Callithrix jacchus: one gene and its partners. The protein of the gene in region 3 interacts with the protein of the main gene of each other region in a pairwise test. Links are inferred from orthologs where the notes say so. Each region holds a gene or a part of one and is shown on either strand. Other genes may lie near its edges.

Region 1 (3,752 bases), on a different chromosome or scaffold from region 3:
GTCCTTAAATTACATGGCTTATTGCCTTTAAAGTTAAAACTGGCCAAGAAAAGAAGAAGAAAAAAAACCACATTTTAAAAAAAGAACAGGGATTTTGTAGAAGAGAATTATCTAAAAAAGCCAATTAAAAACAACTATGTGCCATTCCTGCAGCTTATTGTTTTAACAACCATATCAAACGAATTTAGCTTGATCAATCAGTATAATTCCACAGATGGGATATGTCTAGATGTAATTGTATAAACAGCCACGCCAAAGGTCTTACACCTGTATCTTGCTTTCAGAAGACTAATGAGACTGCGGTGTCAAATGAAGACACGGTTCAGACTATGAAATAAAGCCAGAGTTGATGTCACATTAGCAATGCAGCAAAGCAGTGTCTTGTGCCTATTCCCATAATCCCAAAGGACTGCTACAGCAGTATTTAGCAATGGCCTCAAAGAACAAATGAATACGACAGTTAACATACCAAAACCAATAACGGGACCCCTCTGATTCAGAGGTGATAACTTCAAAAACATGTTTGGTTGACTTAAAATCTTAATCAGGCTAAGACCCTGAAGAATTACATATCCAAAATATAACTGCACTCTGTAAATTAAAAAAAGAAAAAAGAAATCCTTTATTTTGAAATGGTATTGACAGAACTAATCTTAAGGAATGTCTGCGTGATTAAAGGTGGCAAAGCAATCTAATAAGTCATTATAAAGTGTTATTTAGAATGATTATCCATCAAATAAATCATTTATCGTAACTGTCAGGGAAAAGCCAAAGAGTGATTTTTGACTTAGTCTACAATTAAACACTTTTTAAAATAATATAAAAACAGCTACCACTTACTCAGTGTTTACTATATGTCAGATAGTGTGCTAAGTGCCTAAATTATTGACATGACCTTTAATCCTCACACTACTTTATAAGGTCTACTATCTACATGTTACAGAGAAGGAAAATGAGGCTTAAATAAGCTAAATCGAATGAACCTGAAGCTACGTACATTTATTCCAAAGACAGTGCTCTTAACCATGACTAGAACTGCCGCCCTGAATCTTCCTTGTATTTGCATGTCAGTATAAATAGGGCTGAATGTTATCTTATTCTACTTTGTAAATGTTTCATAAATGTTAACTGATTACAATGGAAATAATTTTTTGTTTAGTCTTTCACAGTTTTGTGTATTTTAGAGCTGTTTACTATTAGAATAAGTAGGTGGGAAGTTTTAAAGTAAAATCTGCCTCACAGGTGCCCAAGATTAGGTAACTGACATAATTGAATGTGAAAACAAGAACCAAAGTCATTACATGTAGGCTTTGGAAACTCAAAGGAAGATAATAAAAACAGATCTATTAGGAATTGAAAGACCTGGAATCCACTCCCGGTTCTATCAATTTGTGCAACTCTGGCCCAGCCATTTACAATTCATTTTTCTCATCTACAAAGCAAAAGCGAGGGACTACATATCCCAAGTTTTAATACGTCATAATTGTAATATAAGCTCTTAAAACATATATGGGATGGAGGGAGGGAGGGAGGGTGAGATTACTTAAATCCTGATTTTTTGTTACAAAATATATGTTTTTAAATAGGAATTTATATTTACTATGCCAAAATTCCCTCCAATCTATTTAGGGAACAGGTGTTCTCTAAGTAGATGTTTTGATAATAGTAGAGTTTTAGATACATAAATTACCGATCCTTCGGACTCAAGGCTATGTTCTTAATCTCATCATCTTTCCTAAGTCACCTTCAGGAATATGTCAGTTGTGTTTGCCTACCAAAACTTAAGAATGAGGGATAGTTACGCATATAAAGCGCCCAGCTTGTTACAGTGCAGGAATTCAATAAATGCTTGTTTTATGTCATTATTATTTGTACTGACTTATTACATAAGTAAAAATCCTGTCTGTGTTACATTAGACCAGCAGAGGAAGTACTACGATCCATATTCCTTTTTTAACCCTGACAGATAATAAACCAGATCAAAAAGGGGGATACTTTGGGCCAAAGGACACGTTTTAGCAGGCAACAGGGTTTACACACCAAGTACCGCGCCTGTCCACATAACGACAATACAAACAAAACACTGCTGTTTGGAATTAGCCACTCTGACTTTCCCGTGGACGTCCCTCCTTCCCTCCAAAAATAGACCATCCACCACCAACACACAGCTCTGTTGGGGTAAAGACGCGGAAGGCCACAGCACCCCTTGAGAAAGTGACATCGGGGCACGGTGCGCACGTTCCGTGTCACGCCAAGCAGCCCAGCAAGGGGCCACCCCTCTCCCCAGCCGAAGGGCAGCCCGGAGAGTGGAAGAGGCGCTGCGGGTATTTAGTGGCAGCTGTAGCCATTCTCCTACTCAACCTCTCCCAACCAAGGCAAGCAGGGCGTGTCTACAAAGTCCAGCTTGTGCGCCGAGCACGGCGACTGGGGCAAAGCGCGGGGCACGCGAGGGACTGGAGCGAGAGGCGTCACAGGCGGACTCTCGCAGGGCAAAGGAAGCGGCGGCTGCAAGTGAGAGCCCCGCCAGGGTACCTTGCGTCCAGCGGCAGAATATGGTGTCCGAGAGACCGGGGCTGCTCTTGGTGCCCCACACCAGCTCCATTAGCTCTTTAGTCAGTTCGGACATGATGGTGAACCGGCGGGCGGGTCTTCGTTTTGCGGACTCCTGCCCCGGCACATGGGGAAGGGGCAACTCCGGAGGCAGCAGCTGCGGGACGGCGGCGGCAAACGAGTTGGAAAGTGAGGCAGGAAGAAGGAAAAGGGGATGAGAGCTACTTGCAGGGACCGCGCCTGTCAAGCCAGGTTGGGGCAGCAGCGAGTTTCCTGTACCGGAAATGCTGGTTCCACTTCCGGCTCCTCTTTAATTCCCGCCCCTTAGAGGCAGCGGGCCCGGAAGTCCCCTCCCCGGAAGTAAAATTGGAGGCGGAAACAGCCACGAAAAGCGGTGGAAGTAGCCACTGGCCTTTCTGAGCCGTCTGGGATCCTTTGGTGGGGTGGTAGTTTTTGTGTTGGCGGGTGGGGGCGTCAGCGTGTTCCTAACCTCCAGGAATACCTCCTTCCTCTAGGCACTGCTCTGGGCTCAGGTGGAGGCTCTGAGGCCCAGGCCCTAGGGACTAGAACTTATGCCCATTGCTTTTAATTTACAGTATTAATTTTGCAACACTGAAACTATAAGGCAATGGTTGAGTCACAGTGCGGTAACATCCTTACCTTTGTAGGGTGCTTCTCATAAGCTGGAGGCTGTCCAACCTCTGTGCTTCAATAAAGACCAACTAGACCAACTAGTACTTAAAAACATGGCAAATAATTTGGCATAATGTGCATCAGAAATGCTTCTACCACGTGCAACACAGAATTACAAGGTATTTGTAGCGAAACAGATTGAAAGCAACCTGTTTGTAAATGTTACAGCATTTTCATCTCCAGTTTTTGAGGCTGCACAGTGTGTGGCCAACACCTGGACTAAAATTTAGTTTTTATTCACCAAACTAGCGGTTAAAATGAGTTCGTGTGAAAACTTCTATTTGTGCTGCTTTAAAAAAGAGGACTTGAAGGCTGGGGTGGTGGCTCACATCTGTAATTTCAGCACTTTGGGAGGCTGAGGCCAAAGGATTACTTGAGGTCAGGGGTTTCAGACCAGCCTGACCAACATGGAGATAATCCGTCTCTACTAAAAATACAAAATTAGGCAGGTGTGGTGGTGCATGCCTGTAACCCCACCTACTCGGGAGGCTGAGGCAGGAGACTTGCTT
Region 2 (3,752 bases), on a different chromosome or scaffold from region 3:
TTCTCACTCATAAGCGAGTGCTGAACAATGGGAACACGTGGACATGGAGAGGGGAGCATCACACACTGGGATCCATTTCGGGGAGAACAGGGGAGGGACAATGGGAGGGAGGGTGGGGAGGCATAACGTGGGGAGAAATGTCAGGTATAGGTGATGCGGGGATGGAGGCAGCAAAGCTCGTTGCCATGAATGTACCTATGCAACAGCCTTGCATGATCTGCACACGTACCCCAGAATCTAAAGTACAATTAAAAAAAAATGCTACTGAAAAAAAAAAGAAATCTGAAGTTATGTTTTATCATTTTGTCTCCTCTCATTATAGTTCTACTCCATGTACTCAGTCATTGAGAACTGTCCATTCCTGCCTACAATACTTTTCTCCATTCCATTCGTGGATTTACAGTTATGATTACCCCTAATATTCATAATTGGAATCAATGCCTTGTGTCTTGTCCCATTATTACTCTACATGAAACTCTTCCATTATGCTTTTCTCTTTTTTTTTTTTAGAGACAGGGCCTTGCTTTGTCAAGCAGGCAGGCAGGCTGTGTTGTGAACATAACTCACGGTAGCCTAGAACTCCTGCACTCAAGAAATCCTCTAGCCTCAGCTTCTCTCAGCTGAGACTATTACGTGTGTGCCACCATGCCCAACTAATCATTATGCTTCTCTTTGACTCTAGAAACTCAAGTTGCTTTCTTTTGCCTATCACTATTACCTAAGACAAACTTAAAAGAGCAGTTTTTCATACAATATCCAATGATAATAGTTCCAAATTCCTAATTCCCTTTTAAGATAAAAACTCTTTAAAAATCAGAAACATGGCTGAGTGTGGTGGCTTATACCAGTAATCACTGCACTTTGGAAGGCCAAGGTGGGTGGATCACCTGAGGTCAGGAGTTTGAGACCAGCCTGGCCAACATGATGAAACTCTGTCTCTACTAAAAATATAAAAATTAGCTGGGTGGCACATGCCTGTAATACCAGCTGCTTAGGAGGCTGAGGCAGGAGAATCTCTTGAACCAAGGAGGCAGAGGTTGCAGTGAGCCGAGATCACCCCACTGCACTCCAGCCTGGGCAACAAGAGCAAAACTCCGTCTCAAAATAAAAAAAAAAATCGGAAATATAAGCCATTAGTAAAGACTATAACATTAACTGACAGCATGCCAAGTTTCTTTTAGGAGTTTAGTAAACATTCATAATGAAGATTATGATGCTAAATGTCATTATTTGCATGCAGCGGTTGCCTTTCTCAAACTAACAATCTCAGCATCTTCGGTTTCACTGGATTTAATGCGGAAGTGAGTCTTCATGACAAGGCCACCTCTCTTTTCTGAATAGAGGGGTTTAAATAGCTTGATGGCTTTCCAGGTGGTAAGTGTCAGCTAAAAGGTGGTCCCCACAAAGGTCACAATTACACAGCTGTGAATAGGCGACATGCTGCATCCTTCATAGCATCTGCCACAAAATAAAGGCTCAATATTTTCCCTTAAATTTGCTTTAAAAATCATTACCATTACCTAAATGAACATATTACCGACATGAATTTTAAAAACTGCACGTGTAACCAATGTCTAAAAATTGGGTCACATGAAACCTATAACCTTGAAACTGAGAATTTCCTCAGACTTCATGACAATATACCAACCACTTAATGTATACCAGGGGCTGAGGGGAACAGAGAACCTAATTAATCACGGTGACCTGATAAATGAGGTCACACCACTAAAGCAAGTGGTGCTCCTTCAGCCTCAGTTCCATTTCCCTCCCCCCACATCATGCTCCTCCTTAAGACACATCATTTGATTGAAGAGTTGAGGTGGGTATTCATTTAGAATTAATAATTAAACCTGCCTCCCAGTTCCCCAAATCTACAAGGTCCCTTAGACCTCCAGAAGCGCAATTTTGCTCACAGGAGAATGAAGCACATTACTCTCATCCAAGGCGACTACCTCCACGCATTTTGAAAGGGTTATGTAGAATCCACGTATTAAAATAAAAACCGTAACTTCAAAGTACTACAGTTAATGTTTCAATCAACAAAAGTGGGCGGAGGAAAACATTAAAAATGTAAAAACCCACCACTGCAGAAGCGTTATGCTTTAGTAGTAGGATAGTCTCAGCATAGGAAGAAAATACCACCTTGTCAGCGACTAACTTCTGATAAGCATGTGGAAATGCAAGCCAGTCCGCTCGAAAAAATGCACGCAAGGGGAATGACACGCGGTTACCGCTTGTGCCCTGACAGCCGAGGCCGTGAAACGACGAGAAGAGCGGCAGTGTCTGAATCACGCCTTCCAACCTCTCCGCCCCGCCCCGCCCCGCTTCCGGGGCTCCAGTTCACCCGCGGCACCCAGACTGCAGGTGCCAAGTCACAACTGCAAAGAAACTTCCTCTTCTCGAGCGGGGATGGGACCTGGCCGGGTCCCGAGGCCCCCGGCCGGTGGGCTCAGACGTTAGGAGCAGAACCCGTTCCAGGTCCCGGTCTGTCCGCGCGTCGGTGCCCTCCGGGGCTCGGGCAGACGCACCCAGTTCCTGACCGACCAGGCGCCGCGGCCCACCTGCCCCGGTACCCGCCGTCGGACCCCGTTGCCCTGCACCTGAGGATGTTGTCAGCATAGGTGAGCAGCAGCTTGGAGGCCTCCAGAAAGGTCTCCGGAGTGTTCTGGCAGAGCTCGGCCACGGCTGGGGACGCCGAGCCTGAGGAGCTGCCCAACGCCGCCGCCGCCGCCATGCTTGAGCGCCAGCGGCCGTCGCCGCCCCTCGCGCTCGCGTCCTACACTGAGCAGGCGCCTCAGCGCGCGGCAACTACCGCAGCCACCGGGAGGGGCGGGGTCCTTGGCCGGCAAGGGCGGGGCCTGGGCCTGGAGCAGGGGAGCTCGGCGGGGTGCAGCGGCGGCCCCTTGGGGAGGGGCGAGGGGCTGTTCAGAAGGGGTAGGGGCCTTGGGCGGCAGGGGCGGGGGGCTTCGGCCCGAGGTTGGGGAGGGGTTCCGCAAGGAGGGGCGGGGCCTGGGCGCAGGGACTGAGGGGCGTGGGTCGGGAGGAGGGTGTTTTCTAGTCCTCAGGACTAAAGAGCTCGGCTGGGCGGGAGGCAGGCTTCTGTCTAAAGACACCGGGCGAATGGTCCCGGCACGTTCCTCTCAGAAACCCGAATCCCTCTGCGCCCTGGGCCAGCCGAACTGATCCAGCCACTAAAGCGGAGAAACCGCATGTACCTCCCTCCTTTCCCCACAAGTAAAACGACCTTAGAATCATGTCCTTCGCTGGTTGTCAGGCCGTTCTACACAGACGTGGATGAAAGATCCCAGAAGAAAGGAGCAACAGACGTCAACAACAAAATCATGGCTATAAATGGCTGAGTTTGTTACATTAATTCTTTTCAGAATTTTGAGAATGACTGAAAATCAAAGTCCCAGCTCAGCTAGTATATGATTCCTCTGTAAAGAAGTGTATTTTTAAACCATAGGTTGCAACATAATAATGGGTTGTGGATTCGGTTTACACCGTAGTGACCAGCGTAAAACACATGCATAGTAGAATGTCGAGGGCGGGGAGGGAAGAGAATAAAAATTTGCATCCCACACAGTGAGGGTAACTATTATTTTGTGACTTGTTTTTTAGGTAGATCCTAGGTCTTTTATTCCTCTTAGAAGATGCATCTCTAATTACTTTAATCCAGTCTCTGCTCCACCATGTCCTTGAAAGTGTGCTTTACCACTGGCTTCCTGCTTTGCAGAAATTCCTTCTCAACC
Region 3 (2,855 bases):
AAAGTGTGCCTCTCTGGATCCCCTGGTTCCTCCCACAACACCTAGGGCTGGGCTGGGGAATCCCCAACTTGGCTCTACTCAAAAGGGGGACAGGGATTGTAGGCCCTGCTTACTGAAGCTTCAGGACGAGAAAAGGCGGGGGTGCAATGGGCAAATAATAAAGAAGCAGATGGCAGAAGAGAAGAAGGCTTCTGTTTACCAACATTCTTCTCCGGTAATTAGCCAATTATGGGGTGGGGGGGAGGGGAGAAGTATAGCCAAAACAGACTGTGGTGGTGATGGTGGGGGCCAGGGAGAAGCAGTCCTTGTAAGGCTGGGCTGGGGTCCACTGCCTGGAAATGACACACTGGGGGAGGAGACACTGGGAGCCCCAATCTGCAAGGACTCACAGACTCCTCTCCCACTTCCCGGCACCCATCACCACGCCTGCCTGTGCCCAGACAGCCCCCAGACTGAGACAGGCGGGCGTGGGGAGCCCCAGCAGGCACGGACCATAGGGCTGGTTTTTTAAACTTTATTCACTTCAAAACCTTTATTAGAGACACGGTTCTATTCTGGGGTGGGGGTAGCCTTAACACTGAGCTTATGTTAGCCCTTCTCTAGGCTGGAGGCCAAGGCCAGACTGGGGAGGGGGCCTTGAACCTTTCAGGGCTCACTCCAGATGGAAAGATTTGGGCTGCTCCAATGGAGGATCAAATTTTGGGGCTCCAGCTTCCCCTCATCCTAGAAGAGGATGGGGTGGGGGGTCCTCAGGGATTCTTCTGAAGATGGAGAAGCAAGCAGCCGCCTTTCCATCTGGTTGCAGGGAGCTGGGACAGAGGCCAAGAGGGGCCCATCTGTCACCTCCCAGTCCTGCCAGCTTCTCTGAGCAGGCTGGGCTGGGGAGGAGGGGACAGCTGTCTGGCCTGGGTCTTCTCAGAGCAAGATGGGAACAAGGGCCACTTTAGGAGGACGGGAAGCTGGGCTTTTTGCTCACTGTTGTGTTTTTTTAAGGTTTTTGATTCTTTTTCCCACTTCTTAAATAAACATGTATATATATATATATTTTTTTCTTTTATAAAACTTTCATGGAGTAGGGGTAGAGTGGGGGTTTGGTGGCCTGGCCTCCTGGCATCACTCGTCATCAAAGTTCTGACTCAAGAGGAAGTTGGCAGCCAAGTTTTCGTTTTTTTCACACGCGAAATAGGCCTGGATAACCAGGCTCTCTGGGAACCCCAGGGCCTTCAACTGTGGGAAGATGGGTAAGTGTGAGCAGTAGAAGGTAGGGGTCCTGCCCACCTGCAGTTCCCCCATATCCAGACCTCTTACCCTCTCTATAGCTTCTTTCTCCTGCGGCGTCACCTGGATGTAGTTCATCTGCGGGGCCTCCTCTCCTATGGCACCCACCTCTGCCTCCACATCTGAGATGTCCGCCAGCTCCCCAGGGGGTTCGTTCAGCATCTGGATGAACTGCTCCTGGTGCCGGCTAATTTGCTGCAGGAGAGGGTGGGGAAGGGAGGGTAATTCACAGCCCTTGCCCCCTCCTCTCCCCAGGTCTTCACAGCCCTTGCTTTTTCATTCAGTCAGGCAAATCTCCAGAGGAGTCTATTCTGGCCAAACACAACAGACAATGTAAGCCCTGCTCTGGTGGAGCTGACCATGGGCTTTAAGTGAGCCAAGAAATGGGCCAGGCCTACTGACTCATGCCTATAACCCTAGCACTTTGAGAGGCAGAGGCAGGTGTATCACTTGAGATCAGGAGTTCGAGACCAGCCTGGCCAACGTGGTGAACCCTTATCTCTACTAAAAAGAGGAAAAGTAGCCAGGTGTGGTGGCAGGCGCCTGTAATCCCAGCTACTCAGAAGGCTCAGGCGTGAGACTGAACGTAAGAGGCAGAGGTTGCAGTAAGCCACTGCACTCCAGCCTGGACAACAGAGCAAGACTATCTTGAATAAATAAACAAAATAAAGAAATAGGCCAGGCACAATGGTTCATGCCTGTAATCCAAGCACTTTGGGAGGCACAGGCAGGCGGATCACTTGAGGCCAGGAGTTCGAGACCAGCCTGGCCAACATGGCAAACCCCATCTCTGCTAAAAATACAAAAATTAGCTGGGTGTGATGGCACATGCCTGTAGTCCCAGCTACTCAGAAGGCTAAGGTAGGAGAATCCAGGAGGCGGAGGTGGCAGGGTGCTGAGACTGCACCGCCACACTCCAGTCTGGGTGGCAGACTCTCAGAAATATAAACAAATAAATACATGAGCCAATAAATGAACCAGACGACTACAAGTGCCTGGCTAGAAAGGAAATGCAGATGAGGACTGGAGAGGTCTGCAATATGGAGGATGCAGAGGGTTTCCTCCAGGTAAAGCAAACAGCAAGTGCAAAGGCCCAGGGGGGATGCATCTGGAAATCTCAGAAGCAAGAACAGAGTGAACACGGAAGGGAAGACGGATGAGGCAGATAATAAGACCAGAGCGGAAGACCCTTTGGTCTTCTCAAGTCAGACCCATTTTCCAGAGCAGTGGGAAGCCACGATGATGACAGTTATTCAGGAAAATATGTGGTCTGAATCTTTTAGAAAGGTGAACTTGGCCAGGTGTGGTGGCTCATGCCTGTAACCCTAACAACTTGGGAGGAAAGGCAGGAGGAACTGCTTGGGCCCAGGAGTTCAAGACCAGCCTGGGCAATATAGACCCTGTCTCTATTCCCCGACTCCACTCCCCCGAACCAAAAACTGTGAACTCATCTGCGTGTTGGATTTGGGTATGTGGAAGTTCATTTGTTTGTTTTCGTTTCTATTCTTTTTAAGACAGAGTCTCACTCTGTCACCCAGGCTGGGGTGCAGTGGGGCAATCTCGGTTCACTGCAATTT

The links. The genes of interacting proteins can lie anywhere in the genome.
Region 1: the proteins of RAD23A (region 3) and MINDY3 interact in binary tests that used the Homo sapiens proteins (3 or more experiments, as listed by UniProt). The two-hybrid records come from large-scale screens. The link is inferred for Callithrix jacchus from reciprocal best matches to the Homo sapiens genes RAD23A and MINDY3.
Region 2: the proteins of RAD23A (region 3) and NGLY1 interact in binary tests that used the Homo sapiens proteins (3 or more experiments, as listed by UniProt). The two-hybrid records come from large-scale screens. The link is inferred for Callithrix jacchus from reciprocal best matches to the Homo sapiens genes RAD23A and NGLY1.

What each region holds. Positions count from the first base shown.
Region 1 is NC_133508.1:16,717,152-16,720,903, forward strand, and holds the start of MINDY3 (ubiquitin carboxyl-terminal hydrolase MINDY-3), read right to left. Parts: upstream 2,837-3,752; 5' UTR 2,627-2,836; coding exon 2,533-2,626; intron 1-2,532. UniProt on the Homo sapiens protein: Hydrolase that can remove 'Lys-48'-linked conjugated ubiquitin from proteins.
Region 2 is NC_133518.1:64,165,064-64,168,815, forward strand, and holds the start of NGLY1 (peptide-N(4)-(N-acetyl-beta-glucosaminyl)asparagine amidase), read right to left. Parts: upstream 2,756-3,752; 5' UTR 2,735-2,755; coding exon 2,601-2,734; exon of another isoform or gene 1,940-2,600; coding exon of another isoform or gene 1,914-1,939; intron 1-1,913. UniProt on the Homo sapiens protein: Specifically deglycosylates the denatured form of N-linked glycoproteins in the cytoplasm and assists their proteasome-mediated degradation. Cleaves the beta-aspartyl-glucosamine (GlcNAc) of the glycan and the amide side chain of Asn, converting Asn to Asp.
Region 3 is NC_133523.1:11,774,143-11,776,997, reverse strand, and holds the end of RAD23A (UV excision repair protein RAD23 homolog A), read right to left. Parts: intron 1,474-2,855; coding exon 1,309-1,473; intron 1,228-1,308; coding exon 1,114-1,227; 3' UTR 501-1,113; downstream 1-500. UniProt on the Homo sapiens protein: Multiubiquitin chain receptor involved in modulation of proteasomal degradation. Binds to 'Lys-48'-linked polyubiquitin chains in a length-dependent manner and with a lower affinity to 'Lys-63'-linked polyubiquitin chains.